Solanum lycopersicum: one gene and its partners. Each later gene encodes a partner of the first gene's protein in a complex. Links are inferred from orthologs where the notes say so. Each region holds a gene or a part of one and is shown in the gene's direction. Other genes may lie near its edges.

Region 1 (4,086 bases):
AATGTAAGAACTTAAATGTAAAACCGATCAAATATATATACTAGATCAACATTTTCATAATAATACACTCATCATCTCAAAATTCTAAATTTGCCTATAAATTGAATATATGATTTTCGTATAAAGTGTTTTACTGAACTCGTACACGACTAAACTAGTTGTTACATTCATGTTTAATTGTTTGGGATGTGTTTGATGAATTTGGGATGAGATAAGAAAATGAATTGATTTTTAATTTGTATATAATAAAGGAAAAGGGGATAAATATACCCTTAAATTATCGTAAATGATATGTTGATTCTGTTATTGCACGAATTATATACACGACAATACTTAATTTATTACAATTTAATTTATAAATGCATAGAGTTTCTTTTAATTCCCAATCTAAGCATATTTTAACTAGGAAAAAAACATACTCTCCTAGTCCACTTTTATTGTCATGTTGCGCTTTTCGAAAGTTAACTTATCTAATTTTTGAAGTTAAATTAAATTACGTTAATTCAATTTTTTTTTAAAAAATAGATATTTAAAAATTATACAAAAAGTAATATAAATTACAATTTTTACATATCACTATGATAAAAATATTAATCAAAATTCTTATACCTTGATTCTTAAAAAAGAAAGTCATGAAAATTAATTATGGACGGAGAAAATAGTAGTTAATCATAATAAAAATTGTCAACGATCCTCGTCAAAATGCTAATCTCGTTGACTAGTTAATTTTCCCGGTCAGCCACCCCCCTCAAACCCCAATCCCAAAAAATTTAATTTTGTTATTTAAAAATACAAACAACTTTAAATTTTTATTTTTTCACTCTTACCCCCTCCCCCTCGCATTACCCCCACCCATACCTCACCCCATAAAATAGTAATTTTGTTTTTAAAAAATATTTTAAATTTAATAAATTATTTTTTACTCTAGTATCAAAAACATTTTTCATTCATAAATCGAACACTATAAATCATTTTCGGAAAATATTTTCTACTCACTTACAAAACATGAGGAAATAATTTCAAACTCTACTTGTTTTTCACGAAAACATTTTTTAGGAAAATATATTTTCCATGAGAAAATACTTTTATCACTATTCAAATCATTTATTTTTTTTTAAATAAAAACTTTTTATATACTACACAATGCTAAAATAAAATCACTATATTAAACATAAATTTTTTTTTCTTAAACTAGCTTAAAACTAGTGAATGGGCCAAGAGATATTGAGTCAATGGCGGCTGGACACGTTGGTAATAGTCAGATATTACTAAAAAAATTTATTACTATGTATGAAATGTATAATATAAAGTCTTTGGGAGTTTTATTTTCTTATTTATACATACACTCAAGAAATCTAGGCGCAATTGTGATTTTTCATCGTTGATCGAAGCCAGAAATTGTGATTATTGATTGTGGATTAAGGAATTTTGGTGCGGAGTTGAAATGGATGGGAATAATTGGAGGGCCGCTCAGGCTCAGGCTCCGGGAGGTGGTGAAGGTGGTGGAGCGGCTGCCGGAGCTATGGAGTCCGGTGATTGGAGGACTCAACTTATGCCCGATTCGCGTCAAAGAATTGTGAATAAGATGTAAGTTTTTTTTTTTTTTAATTTTTGGTTTTGCGACTTGTTCTTGTTTTTTTTTTTATATTTCTGGAATTTTGAATTTTAGGGTTTTTTTTTTGTGTTTTATCGGTTATCTGAAGAAATCCGATTTCGTTAGAAGTATTGATTAATCAATCTGATACATATTTTTTTTCAGTGTCGTTCTGTTTTATGGAAACTTACTTTATTAGGTGAATTTTGGGGGGTTTTTTGTTAATGGTATTGGGTGAGTTAATTGGAATTTTGTGCCCTAGTTATTACCAATTTTGGTAATTAGTCAAGGGGTAACATATGCTTACACTCTGACCCCATGTGTGGGATTACACTAGGTATGTTTTGTTGTTGGGGGTGGGGGTGGTGTTGTGGTGGATCAGTCAAGGAACTAGTTCAAGTGGGAAAACCTAGTTTTACTCACTGTGCTTTATATTTTGTTTTAGATATGTCGAAATGGTTGGCTGTTGTTCGCGATAATTGGATAATAACTACTTATATTTGCTCAGAGGAAATAAGTTTTAGTCTTTTGTAGCAGGGTATGATGTCAAATTATTGTTAATATATTTGAGAAGCATTTATCTAGATTTTGATCTTATCAAGACTTTGTTCTTGATATGTCAAAATGACAGGTTGTCACTGGAGATAATTGGATTATAATTGCTGATATTTGTTTAAAGGAAACAACTTTTACTCTTTTGTAGCAGGGCGTGATGTCGAATTATTTTTAATATATTTGAGAAGTATTTATCTAGATTGTGCTTTTATCAAGAGTTCAGGTTGATCTTTTGTTGATATGATTATATAGAATGGAGACCTTAAAGAGGCATCTTCCTGTTTCTGGGCAAGAAGGAGTACAGGAGCTTAAGAAAATTGCTGTAAGGTTTGAAGAAAAGATCTATTCTGCTGCTACAAGTCAGGTATGTAGTCTAAACTTGTTTCTTATTTGTTCAAATTGTAAAGCTAGCTCATAAACCACCCCTGCCTTTAAAATCCGATATTAGACTTTTGATGCAATTTTGTTTTCAAGACCATATAAGGGAATCACTCATCCCTTTTTCATCCAATGTGTGATTCTTGTTTCAATTTGTTATCCGAGACCATATATCCTTTTTCATCCGATTTGAGACTCTTGATGCAACTTGTTCTCCAAAACCATACAACCATCCATTTATCTGATGATGGATTCTTCTACATAAATGATTCAATTTGTTCTCCTTATCATTGATGTTATTCCTGCTTGTATAAACTTGCATCTAGACACGTTGTATTAGGGATGGCAAGAGGACCAGGTACAGTGCGGTTGCAGGCCAAATCCGCATAATCCTGCGAAGATTTTGACCCCCCACCCATATCATTATGTTTATGTTGATTTTCGTACTCCTAAAGGAAAACATGAATTACCATTTTAGCAATTTTACCAAGACATGGCTGACATTAAAAATAATAATTGGATATTCTTATATTTGCTCTCATCAAGGTTCTTATAACAGGGAAATGGAAGAGCCTGATAGTATATATCAGTTCATCTTAAGCATGTGATTTGTAAATCTTATTTAATTGGTAATTTGTGTAAGTAAAATTACCTATTACAGTGATGTCACAAACAAAAAAAGGGTTAATTCTGCATATTGACATGTTTTTCTCACACGTAAATATTATAGTATCATATTAATTATTATTCCCCAAGAGTGCTCACTATATATATATATATATATATATATATATATATATTTTGATAACCGAGAAATCCGTCTGTGACCCGCCACCCTTTGGACCAATCACAGTCTTCTAAACTAGGTGAATAATGGGCCTGGAGAAATCCGTCTGTGACCCGCCACACTTTTGACCAATCACAATCTTCTAAACTAGGTGAATAATGGGCCTAGAGAAATCCGTCTGTGACCCGCCACCCTTTGGACCAATCACAGTCTTCTAAACTCGGTGGATAATGGGCCCGGCCCTCTACCCTTCTCCACTTAAATACTTAGCGTCGCTTTGCAAGTTTGCATGGTGGGGCTTGAACCTGCAACCTAAGTTACAAATCCTCCACCTTTTGCCGCTTGAGCTAGGCCTTGGGGGCAGTGCTCACTATATATTTGTCAACGCAAAATGGATAGTAATAAGTTATATGGAATTAAATAAAATAATTTCATATTTGAGTAACCGACATAGATTCACAAAATCTACTTTTACACTAATTTTTATACTGACTACCACAAAAAAATAATTTAGATCTAATTTGAATGTCTTTGCATGCCTAAGCAACCTCCACAAAGTAGGTTTAAGGTTTGTGTAAACTCCATCCTCCCCACTCTATCCTCCCAGATCTGGTTGCACGCCTAAGGAAAGAACTTAATTTCTTTTTTTGTTCTTGTTCAAATCGCTGCTTGGAGATTCTTTACTTCAGTAGAGGCCTGAAGGTTTATCGAAAACAATCTCTCTATCTTTATGAGGTAGTGGTAAGGTCTTTGTACATTCCTCACCCTCCCC
Region 2 (3,911 bases), on another chromosome or scaffold:
AATTAACCTAATAGTATCCTCCGAAAGCCCTTTTGGCAGCGCAAAAGATTCAATATTTTCATTAAAACCCCATTTATAGTCTCTTTTCAAGAATTTCTGAAGTGGGTCGCCTTCATTTGAGATTGATAAAGATGATTCTTTACCTGGAACTTCAACAGTGGCCTTCGCATCAGCAGCTTTAATCTTGAAATTACCTGGATTTGAGATTTTGGGGCCGGGTGAATTAGGCAAAAAGTTATACCCTTTTGGGAGTTTAGGCTGCTCAGCGATGGATTGAGGACAGAAGTGTGAGATTCCGTTGGTGAGAAGAGAAGCCATAGTTGATGCTTAGAAGATAGAAAGAAGCAGGATGAGAAGGCAAACATAAATTTTATTTGTTTCTTTTTTAATTTTTTGTGGTGTCTGATCTAAGATGTCGTATGCTGACCACGTGCATCTTTTCAAAGCCTAAATTACAACAACAAAAAAAAAACAATTAAAAAAAATAGTAAAGCTAAATTATTTTTGTTGCATTTTATGTCATTTAAGCGCTCACTTGATAATGATAAAGTCAGACTTTATGTTGAAAGGTTTAAAATAAAAACAAGTAAATGTGAAGAGTTATGACTGGTGTTTGTGCATGTTACTTTACAAATTAGGACTGGTGTTTGTGCATTATCTATAAGAACGGTGAAACTCAGAAAGTGACGAAATTTACTCAGAAATTCAATGGCGTTCATAAGAGAAATTTGTAAAATCCTGGGGAAAATCGTATAAGAGAGAAAATCGTCTAAGAAAAAAAAAGGGAAATCGTATTATGTTTTAGAGAAGTAAAATGAATGAAAATGAGAAAAAAATTAATAATTAAGATTTATGAGTCTACATGGAGATGATGTTTTTTGGTGCTCATGTGGCATCCATATGGTGTCCACGTGGCGTTCAGGTGACACTTAACACACCTTTGTTAAAATTAAGGGTAAAAATAACTCAATACTTTAATAGAAGGGCTAGAATTTAATTTAAAGATATATGTGAGCTAATTCGGATAATTCAGAAATATTTTTGAGCATTTTTCGTAAAATTTAATTGAAATAATGGTTAATTTTAGGTCTAATTTTAAAACAATTGTAACAGATTATCGAATCTACTTCGGCTCTACCCGGACCTCCAATTCTAGGGTTTTCAGGTAAGTTCTTCTCCTCTGTTTTCTATTCCTTTGTTCGATCTTTTCTCAAAATTCACCATTTTTGTTAGCAATAAAGGGAAGGATTTGGAAGATGGATATCATATCACAGTTACAGGAACAAGTAAATACAATTGCAGCTCTTGCTTTCAACACCTTTGGTACTCTTCAGAGGGACGCCCCTCCTGTGCGTCTATCACCTAATTATCCAGAACCTCCACCTGCTAATCCCACAGAAGACTCAGCTAATGTTGCAGAACAACCAAAGCAAATGAGTGCTGCTTTTGTTAAGGCTGCCAAGCAGGTGAAACTCCATACTCCATACCTTCACTTTTTCTGCTTATTCATCAACGAATATGAACAAGCCACAGACCAGGGTATAAAAGTAATCTGCGTGTACTTCGAGAATAGGGAATTTTCTCTTTTTTCGGAAGATCAAGATAAACTATTTAGTTTAGTTTCCTTTTTTGTGTAGACATTTTTTTTGTAAATGAGCCTGAATAAGTGATTGAACTTGTAGAATCCCTTTAAGAATAGGAAGGTATATCTTTGTGTTCCCTGTAAATGTTGTTGATTGCACCTTCTTGGTGCTGTATTACAAATGCACTTACCATTCCTTCAAAAAATCATTTTTGGACAAAATAATGTTTCTTTTGTCTTCTTTTGACTAGTATGTTTACTTTTGGAAACGTCAAATCTTTAGATATATGATGTGTTTGTGCAGTTCTATACAAGATAACACTAAGTTGTATCTTGGCTCATCATATCTAATGCGTACATGCAGTTCTATACCAGATGATATTAAGTCTTTGTTTGTTCAGACTTGAGACCTGCGTGGTTGAGTTCAAAGACCTTAGTCCTGATTCCTGAGACCAGTGTGGTTGAGTTCAAATACCTAGTCTTTTGTCCTTAGTTTAACGAGAAATACAATAATGCTATTAGCATCACCAACTACTTCAATAAAACTTGACTGAATCACATAATGGCGGACAAATTCCAACTACTAGCTGGACAGGATTGCATGCCTCTAGGGATTTTTACTAGAGAACTTGATGTCAGCCTCTCAGGTTTGGTAACCATGACATCTAGGCCAAGACTCACCGGGTAAACCTGGTGTCAAAACCGGAAAACTGAGTTCTAGTTTATCGCCCTTTAGCTGTCTTCTATGAAATGTATATGGACAACCCTGTGATTAGTTCTAAGGTGTTCAAGTTTACAGTTATGTTTCCCTTGTTTTCTTCTTGGCCTCACAATCAGAGGTTGTCTAATCTAGCATCCTATCAAACTTAAGCAGCACAGCCGACACTTGAGAGTAGCCTTGAGGATTGTGTGGCTCTAATTCAGACCAATTGCAAATTTTCATTGTGATCCTAAAGTGTATGCTTTGCTACAATGTCATTGTATTAAATCTATCTTCTCTTTTTCTTATCCTTCTTTGAGCAGTTCGATGTGTTGGTTGCTGCTCTTCCTTTATCGGATGGGAGTGAAGAAGCCCAATTGAAAAGAATTGCAGAACTCCAGGTATATGCTTCTTTGTGAATAATTGGTGGAATTCACTTTTTGACATCCTCTAATTCTGATGTGTTATAGCTTAACAGTATTTAAACTAAAAAAATAAAGAAGGATAAATAAAGATTAGTCTGTCTATTTTGGGCTTAGTAGTCTTACTCGGTTGTGTATGTATGTGATGTAGGCTGAGAACGATGCAGTTGGCCAAGAACTTCAAAAACAACTGGAAGCTGCAGGTAAGAGTTTGTTTTTCCCTTGCTTTCTTTCTGAAAGATAGTGGAAGCTGTTCTGATTAGGCTAAGGTCCAAATTTCCGTTTTCCTGTCTGTATTATTAATTTTTTGTTTATTCTGAGACTCAGTTTGCTGATTTTGGTGATTTAGAGAAGGAGCTAAAGCAGGTCCAGGAGTTGTTTAACCAAGCAACAGATAACTGCCTGAACTTGAAGAAGCCAGAATGAATAAGGTAGTAGATATTTCAGTTTGCTTGAGGAGCCCATTCTTGCTGGAATATACCCTGGAGGAACAACAAATTGATTGTGTCCATGTCTGTTATGGGTACATTTATTAACTAATTATAATTAGGCATGCTCTGACATTATTTTTTTTTTAAGTTCTTGGCCACTGCTGAAGAAAAGAATTCAGTATACTATTGTATCTGGTTTAGAGCTGTGTTTATAGAATGAAAAGAGGTAGGGATAATGTGCCTAAATAGCAAAAATCAGCAGTTTTTTTGTCTCCACATCCTTAAATATTAGTGTCTTCTGTGCCACGTGTTCAATTTAGAAGTTGGCTAGTTTCTCTGCTCCAGCACTTGTCAAAAGTTATGCAATTATCAGACTGACTTCGTAAACATGTGATCCCAAAACATGGCAGCTGGCATGCACAACTACCCTACCGAGTTGATGATTTTAATTCGTAGACACATTTTGGGCTGTGTCTGGGTACTTTGGGAGTTTAGATTGCATATCGCCAGAATATTTTCTTGTCGTGCTGGAACTGAGGCGTGGCCGAAAACAAGTAGCAACCACACAAAATATATAGAAAACCTTGTCTGCCTAATATGTAAGCGTGACAGCAACGAAGAGAAGAATTTACAGCCATCGGGGTTTGTTGAATGCTAAAATTTAGATAGAACGTGGGTCCAACTATGACTGGTAGAAGGACTCAACCACGTCATATGACAATTGGCATCAATACATGAATGAAGAAACTAACGCAGGAGACGTATTGAAGACTACA
Region 3 (4,015 bases), on another chromosome or scaffold:
ATTTTGGGCAGCAAATGGAAAAGACAAATAAAATAGACAGTTTGTTGGAGATGGTCTGAATTATGTATGGTTGTGGTTTGGTCACTCTTAAGCTCCCCTCTCCTAAACCTCCTTATCCCCAACTTCAAATCCTAATAGCTACATGCAATAAGACCAATGGTGTTTAATTTTATTAAAGGACTATTTATTACTCCATGTTAGGGTAGATACAAAATGCTTTGGTATAGACAGAGATGAAGATTTTGTAGTGTATGGTAAAGCGTCTTGTTAATAGGAAAAAGCATGGACATACCAATTGAAGTAGTCCAAATTGGTAATTGTATAAAGGGTAAACAAATCTAAAATTTGGTTGGAAACATTGGTCATCGAAATATGATTTCGTAGTTGTAGGTCCAAAACCCCCAATTTCCATGCTCATTTTAGGCATGGTATTATGCACCTCTCTTTCATGACACATATATTCAGTTGTGGCCCGTAGACATGTTTCTTTGAGAAATAACCGAAACAGAGTCAACTTGAATTCAAGCTTATAAATATCAAAAGTGATATAAGATTTTTATTCCAAACCAAAATCATGAAGGTTGCATCCAAAATCGCCCTTTTTTTTTTAACCCCTTGGACTAAAATCACAATTTTCACATTTATATAACTACGAATTTAAGCTTAAAAATTCATGCATACTAATAAAAAACTGGTCAAAACTTAGATATAAAGCGCGCAAGCGAGACTCAAAAACGTGTTGAGGGCTTCGCGTCGCTTTATGTGCACTTTAGTGTCTTCACCAATGTTCTAAGGCAAACGTCACCTTACCAATGAGCCTCTTATGAGACAGTGAAGTTAAATCACTGATATTTCACTTTGTCATAATTATTTTCAATTTCTTTGATCATATATTTGACATATTCATGTTTATAGTTATTAGTTTTGGACTAAACATGCATACTTATACTCTTTTCCTCCCTTTGCGTCTTTTTTCATCAAAGCTTACATTTTATTTGCGCTTAAATTCCCCATGGATCGTAAGAGCTTTTTTGCGCTTTTCATCTTTAGTAACACTGGTATAATCACATATGAGAATTATGACTTCACTTAAAAAAAAGATTTCTAACCATTTCAATCTGATCGACTGTATAATCTAGGTGAGTAAATGAATCTAATGACACACTCATATTGAGCAAATAAAAATTAGGATCAAAATCAAATACAAGATGTCATTTTAACACTGAAATTTTATTTCAATATGAATTTAATCCATTTTTACATTACATCTTAAAAATGCAATGAATTTCAGACTTTCCTTTTGTATATATAGCGCAGCAATACAATCAACGGCTAACTTTGAAAAGTAGAATTAGTTAGGGTTTAGCGCATGGCTTCTACATCGAATCCAGAAACCCATGAATCACCGTAAGCAGAATCAATTCATCTCAAATCAATTTGCATCTTCGCAAATTCACATTAATCAACTGTTTTTTCTGTTCCAATTTGCAGGCAGAAAAGCGTCTATAAAGATCCCGATGATGGGCGCCAACGTTTCTTACTCGAACTCGAATTTGTTCAATGCCTTGCTAACCCAACTTACATTCACTGTATCTATCTATCTATTCCCTTCTCTTATTTAAACATGATGTTTTCTGGGTATTTACCAATTATTGTTAGTTTTATGTTATATATGTTGTTGGTGTGAAAATGAATATTGGGTTGCAAAAGCTTCAATTTTTCTATCCCTTTTTCATTTTTTGTTTTGTTTTGTGGACTTTGTATTGATTCTGATGCAGATTTGGCTCAGAACAGATATTTTGAAGATGAAGCTTTTATTGGGTACTTGAAGTACCTTCAGTACTGGCAACGACCTGAGTACATAAAGTTTATAATGTAAGTTAGTTTATAGTATTAATATGTGATAATAGTTATGTATGTTCTTTCTACTGCAACTTTTTAGATGCAGTGGATGATGGTCCTTGTTCCTTTTCTGTTTCCTGTGGACTATGGATATCGTTAACTAATCGTATTGGTTTTCCTTTCTTGATGTTAATGCAGGTATCCACACTGCCTATTCTTTCTCGAGCTTCTCCAAAATCCAACATTTCGTAATGCAATGGCTCATCCTGCTAACAAGGTAAAAAGTTATGTCATGTGTTGTCCTGGTTTCCTTCTCCACTTTTGCTATACTCTTTAGTTAGTTAAGACTGTCAGCCACTATAAAGAAGGTTCACCCCACTTTCTGTAAACACAGTTTCTATGGACTAAAAATGCTGCCAAAACACTTTATAATACATGGTACTTCATTGTCTTAGCCATTAGCCTTATTTCCATTTCTGAACTTTCCCGTAGTTTCTAGGCATAAAACTTATAATTATTTAATCGTGTTGTCGAGGTTAATTCTCGCCCCGAGGACATCTCATCTCATTTCACTGTTTATTATTTATTGCACTTTGTTTGCCAACCTAAAGTTCTGGCACATAAATCTGTGATAGGATCTGATCTACATGTTTGTAACAACTATTAGGAAGTAGCACATAGGCAGCAATTTTACTTCTGGAAGAACTACAGAAATAACCGGTTGAAACATATTTTGCCGCGGCCGCTTCCTGAGCCTGCAACTGCACCAAGTTCTGCTCCACCTGCATCACTACCATCAAGTGTAGCCCCTCCAACTGCTCCACCTCCTGCTCCTACACCTGTTACAGCTGCAGCTCTTTCCCCGATGCAGTATGCCATCCCTCCTGGATCTGGTCTTGCTAAAACGGACCCAAGGAATGCTTCTGTTGATCGAAGAAAGAGAAAGTATTTCCTCTCCTCTTTTACTTTTCTCTTACTGTGAAAACTTTGTCAATGCTTGTTGTTGCATGCTCCCTCTTGTTATGATTTTATATTTTAGGGTTAGATTTGTGACGTAATGTTTCTGAAATGGTTATTGACTTGGATAATTTTGTTTTAGCAGGAAAGACGGATAATTTTATTTTACTCATAGCACAGACCTCCTATCAACTAATTTATGAATTAAGGTAATACATTTTGCACCCCATGATTTCATTTTTCGAATAGGTGTTGCAGTTCCTCATTGGCAAACACATTAATGAAATCCTATTAAGAGTGTGATTTGTTGTTTATTGAATTTTAGAGTCCTTCCCAAGTCTCAAGCATGATCAATGACCTGTACTTTCTTTCTCATGTCAGAAAACATAGTGCTAAAGTTTTGCGAGAGATCAACTACACATTTGTTGGGTTCACTAGGATCAAATTTCTTTAAGAAATAAATGTAGAACTAATTTTATTCCCAAACCAAGTAACCAAAACAGAAAGGAAGCAGCCTGCCTTTGAACTCTTTTGGGATGCCCTCGTTTGTGGTTTCAATTGCTTAATTTTTTAGGCTTAGCTCAGACATCTGGTGATAGGTGACTGGAAGATTGCCAATGCACACTTATAGCAGTAATGGGTTATCAATGGAGTGAAGAATTCGAATCACCATATTGACATGTGAACTTCAGATTTTGATGATAAATGAAGGAGCAACTTCTCTAGTGTGGTCTAAGTATATGAACCTTTGCCTATAATCTATGGTAAATGGGAGGAGTATTTATGGTCTTTGATGCACTTCACTTGGGCAAGGTTACGGTCCCTCTCCTCGGCTAGCCTGTACGAATTCCTATAATCACCTTTGCCTTTGTAGTTATTCTTTCCCCTTCGACTGTTCCAATTCCGTGTCCTCAAAGTTGCAGGTACTGACTCTCAAGGGCCTACTGTCTTTCCAGAAAACTAACAAAAGAGGAACTTTATCCATTTGGCTTGAATTGGGTGGTGTGACACTTAAGAATCGGTACAACCTAGATCTATAGACCTGAAATTAAGTGCAGCACACAAAATTATATTAGCTGTATCACTTTCATTAACGGAATTCCAAGGATTTCATGTTATCACTCATCTCTTTTCTCGTTTTGGTCAAGTGAAGTGCTTCCCCATATATATTTATGAGTTTCAGTTTGAAACTATGCCGTGTGTCCTTTTCTCGACA
Region 4 (3,500 bases), on another chromosome or scaffold:
AATTATCTACGGTCTTAATTGCTTTTGATGTTTGCAACTTTCTTCGAGTACACTGTTATCTGGATCTCTCTTTGAGAATCCCGATCAGGAAGCAAGAATTTTTCGGTGTACTCTTAACTATTTCTTGTATTCCAGGAATGGACGCTTCATTCTTCACTCATCCAAGAATGTTATATCATCATCAGTAGTTGTTGAGTGTGAAGAGGCCCTAAACCAGGGAAGTATGTCAGCTGCTGAGGCTTTTATTAGCTTGAGAAGCAAAAGCATTTTACATTTGTTTGCGTGCATTGGGAGGTTCTTAGGCCTTGAGGTATGCATGCATTTTTATCTCTTTTTTTCCTGTCTTTTGGCTATTAGTTGTTCTGTTTATTAATTTTGATAGAGAGGCTTTATTGTTATATTCAGTATTCCTTGTCTTGACTTTTCTGCCAGTTGCCTTCCTTTGACATTTAGGAGTGATCTTAACTTCACATAGGCTTTGCTTAGTCATTAAGTTGCATGGAGCCATATTTTTTTTTAATCGGTGTGGAGCGATAACTATTTTGTTTTACTTTTTTTTAAAAAAAAAATAAGTGTGGTGTCCTGGCCAGCTTGCCTTTGTATGGCTTATGCTTCTCAGTAACTTGATTATTAATTGCCAGTTTGTTTTATTATTTTATCTTGCTGCATATGTTCTGTAGATGCAGTGGCTGGATCAAAGTTTGGTGTTTGCATTTATGCGTTCAATTATAAATCATTTAAGCTTATCTAGTGGTAATTGATATGTTTAGCTATTTTAATGATTATATGATATATGAATTCAAATCCCAGGTCTTTGAACATGGGTCTGCAGCAGTTAAGGTGCCAAAGAGCATTTCTTCTGGTACAAATTTGTTGCTTATGGGTTTTCCAGAATGTGGAAGCTCGTACTTTTTGCTGATGGAACTAGACAAAGATTTCAAACCTGTGTTCAAATTGCTTGAAAGTCGGTCAGATTCACCAGCAAAAGCTCAATCTCTTGCTGATCTGAGTAACGTGGTTCGTGTAGAAACTATTGATGTTGGAAGGATGCAAATATGTGAGGACGAGCTCAATTTGAGTCTTCTCAACAGCAAGAAATTGCTGTCTGTTTTACGTAGTGATGGCGGCAGTCACCAAACTTCTGAAAATAGTCTTCTTGCCGACTTCAGCTTGGAAGGTTCTATAGTTGCTTCCGGTGTGCAATCAACATTTTTGTCTATTGTTGATGAAGTATTCGAACTTGAGAAAGGGTCCTCGGTGCCTTCTTTCTCTGGTCAAATCCCCCCATCAACATTCGGTGCTTCTCCTGCATCTCATTTTGGCACTGGTGTTGCTAATTATCAGAGTCTTAAAGTTGGAACTCTGTCCCCTAAGTGGGATCGTGGAGTAGGAAACTACAGTAACTCCATGTACAAGGGCGTGATACAGTCAGGTTCAGTTGGTTCATTAGCTGCAACTCAAACTGGGAAAAAGTTGACAGCTTCGAAGTCTGAGCAAGATTTGACTTCTCTCCGATCACCTCATTCTGCAGGAGTTGGATCATATACATCATTGGATGAAGACCAGCTGACTGTATCTACAAATCGGTCAGCTCGGCTCCTATCTCCACCACATCGAGTTTCTGCATCAAGTGGAAAAGCTAGTGGCTCAAGAAACTCTGCTGTGGGAACTTTACCAGGTGGTTTCAGGACTGCTGACTCTAACTCATTGGTTTTAAGTCCCGGATGTAAGTCAAATCACCTCTGAGAATGTCTCTTATATATCTGTATGTGGTTGAGTATATACATTTGTCGCTGTAGCTCTCCCCCCCACCCCCCCACCCCCAAATAAATAAATAAATAAAATAAAAATTGAAATAATAATAATAATAACGAAAAACTCCAATGCTCAGGGGACATGGTTATTTTTTATGCATATTTCTCAGAACTGTGTTGCCTTTGTTTTTTGCCAGCCCAAACTATAGATTCAGCAACATGTATAAAGTCAGAGCAAGATGCAGCTTCAGGATATAACATTTTGCCTAGGAAGCGTACATTGTCAGATTTGTTAGATTCACTTCCATCACTTCAATCAATGCAGTCCAATGAAGGATCATATAAGCGAAGAAAACTTGTGGAGTCTGCTGGCACCCATCTACCCAAGTCAATGATGCTTACTTCTTCAGATATTTCTGGGAAAACTGAAGAGTATAGCTATGGAAGTCTTATAGCTGAAGCTAATAAAGGGAATGCACCTTCTAGTATATATGTTTCTTCCCTTCTCCATGTAGTCAGGCATTGCTCACTATGTATCAAACATGCCCGGCTTACTAGTCAGATGGAGGCGCTTGACATCCCATATGTTGAAGAAGTGGGTCTTAGAAGTGCATCCTCGAACTTATGGTTCCGAGTTCCATTTGCCAGAGATGACACCTGGCAACATATATGCCTGCGGCTAGGTAGACCTGGAAGTATGTACTGGGATGTGAAAATTAATGACCAGCACTTCCAGGACTTGTGGGAGCTTCAGAAAGGAAGCAATAGTACTCCATGGGATTCTGGCATTCGGATTGCCAATACATCTGATGCAGATTCTCATATTCGTTATGATTGTGAAGGAGTTGTTTTGAGCTATTATTCAGTTGATGCAGATAGTATAAAGAAGTTGGTGGCCGATATTCAAAGGCTATCTAATGCTCGAACATTTGCGCTTGGAATGCGGAAGTTGCTTGGTGCTAGGGCTGATGAGAAGTTTGAAGAAAATAATGCAAACTCTGAAAGTAAAGCACCGGCTGCACTTAAAGGCACTACTGATGCAACTGATAGAATTTCCGAACAGATGAGAAAGCAATTCAGAATTGAGGCAGTAGGACTGATGAGTCTGTGGTTCAGTTTCGGTTCTGGGGTGCTTGCTCGCTTCGTGGTTGAATGGGAATCTGGTAAAGAGGGCTGCACTATGCATGTTTCACCTGATCAACTTTGGCCACATACAAAGGTTTGGTTTCTATTTTTTTACGTATAAGTTGTTCTGTTTTTCTCCGGTCTCCTTTTATTCCTTTTGTTTTTCTTGTCTACAATTCCATGAGCCTCAAAATGCTTATGAACCTATAATTGGCCTTTTTTTGAGATCTTGAGTTATACGTTGTTCCATTACATTATTGCGGTTTAAGCTAGGAAAGTCCTGTGAAATATTCTGCATGTGGGGGCATAGCCTTTCTATTTTGTTTCTCTTTCAATTATAAGCATTTTCATACCATATTTTAAGCTCAAAACTTTCACTGTTGGTTCCAAACTTAACGACTTCCATATTTTTGTGTTTGGCAAACCACAGTTTCTTGAAGATTTCATCAATGGTGCTGAAGTTGCATCTCTTTTGGACTGCATCCGTCTCACTGCAGGACCCTTGCATGCTCTTGCTGCTGCAACGCGGCCGGCACGAGCAGCTCCAGTTTCTGGTGTTCCTGGTGTTACAGCGCCTATTTCTTCTGTTGCAAAGCAGACTGGTTATGTTCCATCCTTACC
Region 5 (3,689 bases), on another chromosome or scaffold:
TACTGAAAATAAGAAGAATATAAAAAGTATATTTCAGTAATTTTTCTAATAATAAATGTGAAATAAAAGTTGGTCTTATGTGATATTGTATGCGTATGAAAAATGTTAGGTCAAATCCATCGATGGCCCCTAAACTTGGCACCAATTTTCACTTAGATACCTCAATCAGGCGATGTTCATTTTAAACACCCCATGTAAGGTTCAACTGTGTCATTTTGATACTTTTCTGACAATAAATAAAAAACTAAAGGAGAGTGTAAATGTGTAATACACTCGTTGATGACGTGGCAAACAATCAATTAAATAATTACATGTATTATTTTCAGTTAAAAATAATTATAAAATCTATTTAGTAAAAAAATTTAAAATATTATTCTACGAAAATTTCTTATTTCATTACACTCAAATCTCTTTTGTGCTTTACAAAAAAATATTATTTTCTTTTACTATTTTTCATATTTATTCTTCTTTTTAGTATTGTTTTTCTTTAAAAAAAGAAAGGAGGGAGAGAATAAACATGAAATATGGGTGTTGGTATCCATTTTTCCGGCAAAAAATAGAGTGAGGTGAAGATAGACTTAGATAAGTAATACAATGATGAAGAAGAAAATGACTTAACAACGAATTTGAATAAAAAATTTGACCTCCATTGAAGGAATTTAAATTCGAAAAAAAAGGGGGTGGTGGCTTGGAGAAGAAGAAGATAAAATAAAATTAAAAATGGCTAAATTAAGTCTTTCACGCGCTATTGTTAAGTGTATCACACTCACTTTGACATGTCAGCAAAAAGTGCCAAAATGACACAACAGAACCCTACACGAGGTGTCTAAAATGAACATCGCCTAATTTAGGTGTTCTAAGTGAAAATCGATAGCAAGTTTAGGAGGTCACCGATGAATTTGACAAGTTTGAGCAATTAAACAAAATATTTAATTTAAACATTAATGTAAAATTAATTTTATTCATCACATATAATATAATTACTCATCAATAATATATAACACTAACAAATGAAAAAAAATATATGTCTCATTTTAATGTACATAGAACACTTAATATATAATACTAATGATGAAAATACAAATAAAATAAAAATTAAGATACATAAATAATACTACTCCTTTAGTCCAATAAAATAGCACTCGTATATATATAAATAATTATTAGAAACTCAAACAATTATTACTCAATTATGATTTTATTCAAATATATTTTAAAAATCTTACACTCTAAAATATTAATTTTGAAACTAAAGGGAAGCTTTGTGTTACAAATGAAAACTATTGGGGAGGAATATGTAATTATTTCGAAACAGAGTGAGGGGAGAAGAGAAAAAAACCAAAAAAAGACAGAGGAGAAGATTGTGGAAGCCATTTTCTTCCTTCAGTCAAGTAAGTAGAAAAACCCTAGTCTTTGTGGTTTTTCTTCTTTTCATTTGCTTAAATTTATTTGAGTATTTTCAAGAAATTTGTGTATTGCATCAATTTTGTTTCAGTTGATTTCTTGCTTTTGAGTGTTTTGGGTAATCATAGAAAATTGTTTCTTGGGTTTGTTTTTGTATGCAGAATTTGATAGCATAATAGCTCTTTAATTGTTGTACAAAGATTCAATTTTTAATGATGAAATTACTACAAAGATTCAATTTTTAGTGATGGTCTTGCTAAAGATTCAATTTTAATGATGTTGTTGCTATAAAGATTCAATTTTTAATGATGGTCTTGATACAAAGATTAAATTTTTAATGATGTTCTTGCTAATTTATTCTCTCCTTTATAGATTTACGGAGGTTAGTGATCAATTAGGGCTTCGAGGGGTTGTGATGGATAATCTCGTAGATGCACTGAGCAGTGCATATCAAGACTTTGTTGCAGCATCAGCTGTTGTACTTGAATCAAAGGAGAGTTCTAATGGTCAGAAAACAGCAGCAACTGATGCTGCATTAGAAAACTTTAAGCAAAAGTGGGAGTTGTTCAGGGTTGCGTGTGATCAGGCGGAGGAGTTTGTGGAATCGGTTAAGCAAAGAATTGGCTCCGAGTGTCTTGTGGATGAGGCTACAGGCACTGTTTCAGGGAAGCCTGGGCAACCAGCTGCAAGTGGCCTTCAACCCATTAGTGCTGTTAGGTTGGAGCAGATGAGTAAAGCTGTAAGATGGCTAGTGATAGAACTGCAACATGGTTCTGGAGCGAATAGTGCTTCAGCAGTACATCCCAATCCTTCTGCTCCATTTGATGCCAGATTTTCTGAAGATGCAGCTCAATAGGTATACTGAAATCTCGCTGATACTTCCTGTCCTTGTCGTTTCCGTTGACTATGTTAAATAATCTGGAAACAAATTTGTATTATTTAATGAACTATTAGTGATAGGCTTTGTATCCTAGACTTGATGATGAAGCAAATAAGTGAACATTCCCTTGGAACTGAAACTGATTCATATATAAGAGCTGCTATTACAAAACCGCTGGTCTTGTATAAATTTCCAGGTTGATAGAAAAGTAGTAGAAGCTAACAAAACTGCTTTTTAGTGGCATCATATGTTCTCTTCCATCAGAACGAATAACTGTGAGTAACCACTAGTTTCTGCAGCAATTATGTTATATGTACTATCCTTACTTTATTTATGAAGAATACTATCCTTACTTATTAAGCTAAGTTTGACCCAACTTCTTTTTTTATGATCAATTATGTACTATCCTTACTTATTAAGCTGAGTTTGACCCAACACTTCTGACAGACAAATGGAAACTAGAAAAAAAAAATTGGTTTCGTTTTATTCTGTTTTCATCGCTGTAAAACAAAGAACTATTAGTTGTGACTGTTTTCAGGTAACTACAGAGTCTGGTGATCAGCAGAGAGAAACAGAAGATCTTATGTGCCTTAGTAAGCCGCTAAAGTTGATGTTTGATGTATGAAGTCATGTTGTAACGATGTAGAAGAAATACTTTGGAATGATATTTGTAAACCACCTTTACCGCCTCCCTCCCTCGCCATCTTATGAGAAGATCTGGCAAATTTACATTTGTGTTTTCTAGGCACAGAGATTTACTTTTATCGCAGTATGAGCTACTGCACTGTTAGCTTTATTTAGATCTTAAGCATACCAACATATACAAACAGGCTGTATGTTTGTGTCTGCTATGTGTACCTTATATTCTCGAGTATTTATGTTTATAATCGATTTTTGTTAGGAAATATATCTCCAATCTTGTAAAGTGGCTTTTTAGTTAATTGTGTTAACCCTGATGAACTCATTCAGTAGGCTTTGGAGACCTCTGGAATTGTTGCAACAGAGTATTATGACGCTTTGAGTGTAGCAGTATTAGTAAATACGCTTTAGCTTACAACTACATCTTGATTGCTACACAAATGCTCAGTATCCATGTCGCTCCATTTAACCTTATCTCAGTCTAATATTTAGTTGTACTGTATAATAACTTTGAAAACAGAAGTTCTCACTTGTCACTGCACTTGGAAACGTCTTTGTCCAATAACGCAAACTAATACTAGTAAATGAGAGATCTATGATGTAAAAGTTCTGATGGTTATTGAGAATCGTCTGAAGGGATGACAAGCAGAGGCTACTCTATAAAGCTATATATATCAGAAAAAACAACGCTCTTTTCATTAATTTTATGCAGACCCAAGAAGAAATGGGTTTTGAGGCAACATACAATGCTTAAGAGCATCTTTTG
Region 6 (3,500 bases), on another chromosome or scaffold:
CATCAAAGCTGCTGCCAGAGATGGAAGTCGAAGATAATGCCAAAAGGGAGCAATTATTACACAGCATGCAACACCTATCGGTAGCATCCCAAATTGAGAAGTTGAAGGTGGAAAGCTCTGCAGATGCTATTTCTTCTGTTTCTGTATCCTTGTGGCTTTCTAATATACCTATAACACACAGGTTAGAATTGATATGATTGGAGCAGCATGTGAAAGTGCTGAGAAAGTCATAGCTGATACGCGCAAAGCCTACTTTGGAACCAGACAGGGGCCAACACTGCTTCCAACTATTGACAAGGCACAAGCAGCAAAAATTCAGGAACAAGAAAATTTACTTCGCACTGCAGTAAATCATGGTGAAGGTGATAATATTTATGTTCTGAGTTTTTTCCCAGAAACATCTTTTCTCCTTCTCAGAGTTCGTTAAATGTTTTGCTTGCACAAGACATTGACGCTAAAGATACTTGGACCCCAATGGTCCCTATGTTGATGTTTAATCTAAACTAAAAGAAAGAGAGAAGGATTCTTGCAAACTATCAGATCCACTGAGTGCCTTGTTAATCAGAAAATTGCACATATTTCTGATGACGAAGAAGGTGCAATTGCAAGTCAGATGCTTCAATGTGCTTCTGCTATGCATCACAATATATATGTACAATAAACCTGACATGTGTCTAGTGTGTGTAGCATCCCTTTGGTGGTGTTTGGCGGTACACTCGTTTATGATTTGTTTTAACATGTATGCTCACAGATTTCATGAAAATGGTACTTATGCAGGATTACGTGTACCTGGAGACCAAAGGCATATTACTTCTGCACTTCCTGGTCATTTGGTAGATGTGCTTACAGTGTCTGATGGCCCCCAGTCTTTCGCTGATTCATCCGGTAGCCTATCATCTATTGTTGTCCTACTGTTTCCACTTTATTTCATGAACATCTGACTAGAGAAATTGATGCTGTGTTCAAGTAGGGACTTATCTGAAGAATACTCCTCCCTTTCCATCGAGCAATGTTAATAGTCAGGGAGCTTTGTTACAGGTCAGATTTCTTATAATTTGCCTTGTAAATATGCCTTTTGCTTAAGGGATGAAGATCAATTTGAAACATGATTTTACTTCCACCCTCCGGCGTCCTGTAATGTTGTTATTCAAAGGAGCTATGAACAAAGGGACAAGTGGTTATCTTGTTAATGAGTGAATATCAATTTGGAACACATGAATTTTACTTCCACCACCCATAATTTTGTTACTAAAGGAGTTATGAATAAGGAACAAGTAGTTATCACACAATTATGCTATTCTATCTTTATCATTTAAAAAATTATGCTATGGTTTCTTTCTGTTTCGAAAAAAGGAGCCTTAACAAAGATAAGCGGTATGCCGTGTTACCAGGGGGTCACAGGTTTAGCCATGTGTAGGTCTCTCGCAAAAATGCAAAGTAAGGTCTGCACCTTCTCTAGTCCCAGGTATAGAGGGAGCCTAGTGAATTGGGCTACCTTTTTGTCGTCTTCTGTATGGTTCTACTATCTCTTTTACTGTTCTCGGGGAGGGAATTGTCATGCCTTTTTATTCCCAGTTCACTCTAGGTTTACAGACCTCTTTTTAGGTTGGCCAACCTGATTATTTTCACATGTTCCATAGCACCAAATGGATACCAAAAAACTGCACATCTTAGAATGGGTTTAGATCAATTAGTTACTGAAGGAGTTTACTAGGTCCACTATAGTATTTAATAATCATATACATGTTCTATGTTACACACCAAATACACTACCCTGATTGTAATTAATATCAACTACTGCATGTTCTTTGTATACTTACATCCTTGGTTACACATCAACTTCTCGTGCAAGTTGTAACGCCTGTTTTTTTTTTTTCTGGGGGTGAAAGAGCTGTAGGAATTATTTCCCTCATTTATTTGAATTTATTGGAGGATGGGAGATCAAGTAGAGTTTGCTATTAAATACTTATGTAAGAGTTCGGAGAGGAAATGCAAATCTCCTTCTATTCATGGCGCTAATCAGTAATATGGAAACAATAAATGATTAATCTGCCAGAAGTATACTGATCATATCCTTTTTCCATTCTTTCTCCTTAACTAAACATTACATTAAATCAATGTTCCCCAAGTTATTTTAATATATTGAGTCCTTATTGTCTTTTAAGTTCGTCAGTTCTAATATGTATGTATTGCTCTTGGAGTAGGCTTCTGGAGCACTTCGGGCTGCAGTTTCTCCTTCTGGGCCCACTTCCTTTGATACTACAACAGCATCACCTCTGCAACATGTCAACTCACCTAGGTCTAGTGCTAACATGATGAATACACCATCTCCTCAGCAACAGACCCATCAGCAACAGCAGCAGCAACAGCAGCAGCAGCAGTTGCAGCAGCATCAGCTCCAACAGAGGCAGAAAATGCTGCAGTTACCTCAGCATCAGCAGCAAATTCTTGCCCAACAGCAACTTAGGCAAGCCTCAATGCCTGGACTGGGGCAGGTACAGTTTGTACAAAAATCTTGATTGGTTTAAGGTATCTTTTTGTGAATTTGCACGACGTATAGCGTGCTTAGTATGGGCTACCTTACCATTACCCTTTTACTCATAAAGAACAGGCATATATCTTCTTTTGTTTCCTCCAATTGTCAGCTATGAGAATTGAATCCCTAGCAGTTCCTTCACAGAAAAGCCACTTTTTTTGGCCTTTAATATCCAACTAGTTCCATTAGGGAATCCACTGAGTCCTTTATGACAACCCGTAAATAGATTTAGCGGTGAGAGGGCCTGATGAATCACCATCCAACTGCGAACGCCTCTCATCTCGCAAAATTTACAAAAGTTGAAGGCTAAAATTGTTTACCTCATTCAACTCTTGAGTCATTATGATTCATTTAAAAGGTCCAGAAAAGAGTTCTCTCAGGCCTCTGCCACATCCCATGTTGACTTTTAACAAATTGGGAGAAGTCCTCCTAGTTGTGTGGTATCCCGTATCCCCATCCTAGCTGCTCTTTGATAAGGACTGGTAACTTGTCATCCCCATTTCCTTTCCACGTGTACTCCTCTGAACCATGCTCCAGTGCAATCTTTATCAACCCTTGACCTCCAATTAGGGATGTTCATGGTTCGGTTTGGGTCAGTATTGGTTGAAACCAAAACCAAATACATATCAATCAGTTTGGTTGTTGTTATTTGGTTTGGTTCAGTTTTAATGATACCTAATGATATTTCTCTCTTCAATTTTTCCCCTTACAATTAAGAAGGATTTTCCCATCCTTTTTCATCTTTGTGATGTCTTCCATTCAAAATACTTTTGATCATTCATCTAAAGAGGATTCTGGGTTTCTTTTATCCGAAGCGAATGCTTAGCCTATTTTGTGTTCTTTTTACAGTCAAAGACTGACATAAAATAACAAAGAAAATAGATTCATAAATTGGATCCACTGTTTTGATATGCTTAATGGTAAATCCTAGTATGTGAGGACAGGCCACTAGTTTTACAGCCAA
Region 7 (2,545 bases), on another chromosome or scaffold:
TGACAGGAATACAAGAAAACTTGTTACGTTTAAGTATAGGTCAAAGAGCTTCTCTGTCCATTTCACTTGTACCATCTGCTGACGATGGTCAGACAGCTAATGCTGTGGGTGATGAACATCCAGAAACTGCTATTGTGCCTTTTGAATCAGTTGATGCTTCAAAACAAGATGAAGGGAAACTTGACTTGAAAAAGTTGGGGTTTCCCAATCGAATTAGTTTTGAAATTTATTTGCAACAACTTTTTCATGAACATGTGTTTATAAAAGCCAAAAATAGATTATCATCTTTGGGCAAACCTGAAATATCTTCTCAACCTGTGAAAGATGGTCCCAACCTTTTGGGACATTTCTGCGTCTCTCTAGCTCATAGGATCTTCTCAAACAAAGTCCTCGCAGAGCTCGAAAGTCTGGTATGAACTTTTCTGTCTGGGTTTGTAAACTGCTAGCTAATGTAGCCATTATGTATCTGAAGAATTCCTTGTTTTGTCTGTAGGTTAGCAGGGTACCATATGTCCAATTAATATCGCATCCCACTTGGCATTCTCGAACATCATCATGGACGCTTTCCATGGATGTACCCGAGTCAATTCTCCATGCAGGAAGCCTGTCTCACTCATCTGACTATGTAAAGAATGTGAAATTTCACTTTCGTACAAAAGTCATGGTGCGTGATGATTGCATCAGTCTGGAAGGGGAAGGTGCTCCTAATATTGTTGGCCTCTTCAAAGGAAAGCCTGATAGTATTTGCCCTATGAACAGATATGATTGTGACTTGTCAGATCTTCCGATGGTTCTATTGCAGCAGGTCTGTGTCCTCATCCTCTTTACTATTGTGTTTTGATATGAAAATGGGTGACCATACTATGAAGAATCGTTCATTTTCTGGCCGGATAAACTTCTATTCATCCTAGAGCTGGTACTTCCTTAAAAAAGAAAGCCTATGATCCTAGACTTTTTTTATTTTTCCTGTGATTCAGTTGAACCATCCAAACTCTTTGAGTCTTTTTCTGTTGTATTGCGTGGGGTGATTTATGTGATACGAGTAGCATAGAAGGTTTTCAAACTGTTTGTGTTGCTGCCTAGGATAATTTGCTATCTTGTGGTCGGGGACCAAACTTCTGGTGGATAGCTGTGGTCATGATGGTGAGGGAGAATGTTGTTTTGTTACCATAGAAACAAATGTGAAGCCCCAGCCTCAGTCCTCACCCACCTCCAAATCACTGCTTTAGTTAGGCGCCTGTCACGAGTTTGAATCTTGTCGCAGAGTATAGAGGGGCAAACCTATTATCCTTTAGATTTCAAACCTTTTGCCAGTTGGCACTGGGGGATTGGGGAGACAAGGGAACATAATGTTCCGCACCATCATAGGGAATCTCAAAGCCCCAAGCTCCATTTTCTCAGTTATCACAGAAAGGGAAAAGCAAAAGCATCACATTTGTACCCTTCCTTTCGATAAACAAATCAATATACAATCTACGTTGGAAATCAATGTCACTTCCAATCTTGCAGCAACCTTATGTCAAGCTATTAATTTCTTCTTCAGGTTGCCAGCCAGGTGATACGATGGCTTCATGAAGAAGCCCTTATGGTTGGTATCAAAGCAAACCGGGATTTCTTATCCTTGTCATTTGAGCTAGAGCAAGGAGAAACACTCAGTCTCGTGGCACACGTAGACCCTGAAGATATTCAAGGATGTATTTCCTGGTGGTTGGTGATGGGCGATGGATTCTCTGAAGAAAACAAACTTCAAATGGACGTTAACAGTGGTGAATCCGAAACTAGGAAATTCTTAGGTTATTTATCTTTAGAAGTGTTATACTCAACCTTAATGGATATGGTTAGCGTTAGTAGTACTGCAGGCCATTGATTTGTCTCTACGTATCTGTATTTTTTTTTCTTCGTTTCTTCGAAGAATATTTATCTTGTACAAATTATGTAGCTGAGAATATCATACATCCAATAGCTCATAAGCTAAATCATTGTGGATTCAATTTTTTTTTAAAAAAGTAAATTGTTTGTTGGATTTATTCCATCATTTGGAGAAACTATAGGTTCTTGTGTATACACTTCTCCTCTAAGCAATGTCTATGTACATCTTAACATCTCCGAATTTAACTTGTACGATTTTTTAAAATTATACTGGGTATGTTATTGTTGTTGTTGTCCTACATTTCTTGGAAACCTACTTCATTGATACATTTGCAACTAAAAACAATATTTGTTGAGAAGAAATATTTTCAAAGTTTCTATTTTCAAGTAAAGTTTTTGTAGTTTAAATCATCAAAACATATAGAAAGAAACCTCTTATTTGTGGCTATGAAGAGTCGAGTGTGCATTTTAAATTATTAATTAGGTCACTTTAGTCTTGTCTTAATCCAAATTCATCATTCATTAAGACTTACCAATAAGAGATAAACCAAACAATTTGATCACAATAAATAACATAAACAATTTTTGACAAGACTAATAAACCACTAATAAGAGAAGCTTCATCAAACATGAACCCCACTAAAAAGGAAATATTTAACTTATACCCATTTGTAGT

Evidence for each region.
Region 2: mediator of RNA polymerase II transcription subunit 15a (region 1) and mediator of RNA polymerase II transcription subunit 21 share a complex: the UniProt entries of both Arabidopsis thaliana proteins name them as parts of the mediator complex. The link is inferred for Solanum lycopersicum from reciprocal best matches to the Arabidopsis thaliana genes NRB4 and MED21.
Region 3: mediator of RNA polymerase II transcription subunit 15a (region 1) and mediator of RNA polymerase II transcription subunit 31 share a complex: the UniProt entries of both Arabidopsis thaliana proteins name them as parts of the mediator complex. The link is inferred for Solanum lycopersicum from reciprocal best matches to the Arabidopsis thaliana genes NRB4 and MED31.
Region 4: mediator of RNA polymerase II transcription subunit 15a (region 1) and mediator of RNA polymerase II transcription subunit 14 share a complex: the UniProt entries of both Arabidopsis thaliana proteins name them as parts of the mediator complex. The link is inferred for Solanum lycopersicum from reciprocal best matches to the Arabidopsis thaliana genes NRB4 and SWP.
Region 5: mediator of RNA polymerase II transcription subunit 15a (region 1) and mediator of RNA polymerase II transcription subunit 32 share a complex: the UniProt entries of both Arabidopsis thaliana proteins name them as parts of the mediator complex. The link is inferred for Solanum lycopersicum from reciprocal best matches to the Arabidopsis thaliana genes NRB4 and MED32.
Region 6: mediator of RNA polymerase II transcription subunit 15a (region 1) and mediator of RNA polymerase II transcription subunit 8 share a complex: the UniProt entries of both Arabidopsis thaliana proteins name them as parts of the mediator complex. The link is inferred for Solanum lycopersicum from reciprocal best matches to the Arabidopsis thaliana genes NRB4 and MED8.
Region 7: mediator of RNA polymerase II transcription subunit 15a (region 1) and mediator of RNA polymerase II transcription subunit 17 share a complex: the UniProt entries of both Arabidopsis thaliana proteins name them as parts of the mediator complex. The link is inferred for Solanum lycopersicum from reciprocal best matches to the Arabidopsis thaliana genes NRB4 and AT5G20170.

What each region holds. Positions count from the first base shown.
Region 1 is NC_090803.1:3,490,980-3,495,065, forward strand, and holds the start of mediator of RNA polymerase II transcription subunit 15a, read left to right. Parts: upstream 1-1,286; 5' UTR 1,287-1,444; coding exon 1,445-1,587; intron 1,588-2,401; coding exon 2,402-2,513; intron 2,514-4,086. UniProt on the Arabidopsis thaliana protein: Component of the Mediator complex, a coactivator involved in the regulated transcription of nearly all RNA polymerase II-dependent genes.
Region 2 is NC_090801.1:60,839,865-60,843,775, reverse strand, and holds mediator of RNA polymerase II transcription subunit 21, read left to right. Parts: upstream 1-1,256; coding exon 1,257-1,466; intron 1,467-2,605; coding exon 2,606-2,683; intron 2,684-2,855; coding exon 2,856-2,907; intron 2,908-3,031; coding exon of another isoform or gene 3,032-3,039; exon of another isoform or gene 3,040-3,053; coding exon 3,054-3,130; 3' UTR 3,131-3,411; downstream 3,412-3,911. Other genes in the region: iron-sulfur cluster assembly SufBD family protein ABCI8, chloroplastic, read right to left, coding at 1-318. UniProt on the Arabidopsis thaliana protein: Component of the Mediator complex, a coactivator involved in the regulated transcription of nearly all RNA polymerase II-dependent genes.
Region 3 is NC_090802.1:52,519,641-52,523,655, reverse strand, and holds the start of mediator of RNA polymerase II transcription subunit 31, read left to right. Parts: upstream 1-1,215; 5' UTR 1,216-1,369; coding exon 1,370-1,407; intron 1,408-1,491; coding exon 1,492-1,589; intron 1,590-1,778; coding exon 1,779-1,875; intron 1,876-2,040; coding exon 2,041-2,119; intron 2,120-2,509; coding exon 2,510-2,787; intron 2,788-2,941; coding exon 2,942-2,957; 3' UTR 2,958-3,008; intron 3,009-3,180; exon of another isoform or gene 3,181-3,924; intron 3,925-4,015. UniProt on the Arabidopsis thaliana protein: Component of the Mediator complex, a coactivator involved in the regulated transcription of nearly all RNA polymerase II-dependent genes.
Region 4 is NC_090800.1:84,070,838-84,074,337, reverse strand, and holds part of mediator of RNA polymerase II transcription subunit 14, read left to right. Parts: intron 1-135; coding exon 136-310; intron 311-810; coding exon 811-1,726; intron 1,727-1,951; coding exon 1,952-2,973; intron 2,974-3,309; coding exon 3,310-3,500. UniProt on the Arabidopsis thaliana protein: Component of the Mediator complex, a coactivator involved in the regulated transcription of nearly all RNA polymerase II-dependent genes.
Region 5 is NC_090807.1:64,223,280-64,226,968, reverse strand, and holds mediator of RNA polymerase II transcription subunit 32, read left to right. Parts: upstream 1-1,245; 5' UTR 1,246-1,391; intron 1,392-1,393; exon of another isoform or gene 1,394-1,522; intron 1,523-1,776; 5' UTR 1,777-1,819; coding exon 1,820-2,260; intron 2,261-2,806; exon of another isoform or gene 2,807-2,822; 3' UTR 2,823-3,189; downstream 3,190-3,689. UniProt on the Arabidopsis thaliana protein: Component of the Mediator complex, a coactivator involved in the regulated transcription of nearly all RNA polymerase II-dependent genes.
Region 6 is NC_090802.1:67,516,184-67,519,683, forward strand, and holds part of mediator of RNA polymerase II transcription subunit 8, read left to right. Parts: coding exon 1-107; intron 108-181; coding exon 182-362; intron 363-777; coding exon 778-885; intron 886-967; coding exon 968-1,038; intron 1,039-2,204; coding exon 2,205-2,495; intron 2,496-3,500. UniProt on the Arabidopsis thaliana protein: Component of the Mediator complex, a coactivator involved in the regulated transcription of nearly all RNA polymerase II-dependent genes.
Region 7 is NC_090811.1:1,518,090-1,520,634, forward strand, and holds the end of mediator of RNA polymerase II transcription subunit 17, read left to right. Parts: coding exon 1-410; intron 411-493; coding exon 494-805; intron 806-1,543; coding exon 1,544-1,867; 3' UTR 1,868-2,045; downstream 2,046-2,545. UniProt on the Arabidopsis thaliana protein: Component of the Mediator complex, a coactivator involved in the regulated transcription of nearly all RNA polymerase II-dependent genes.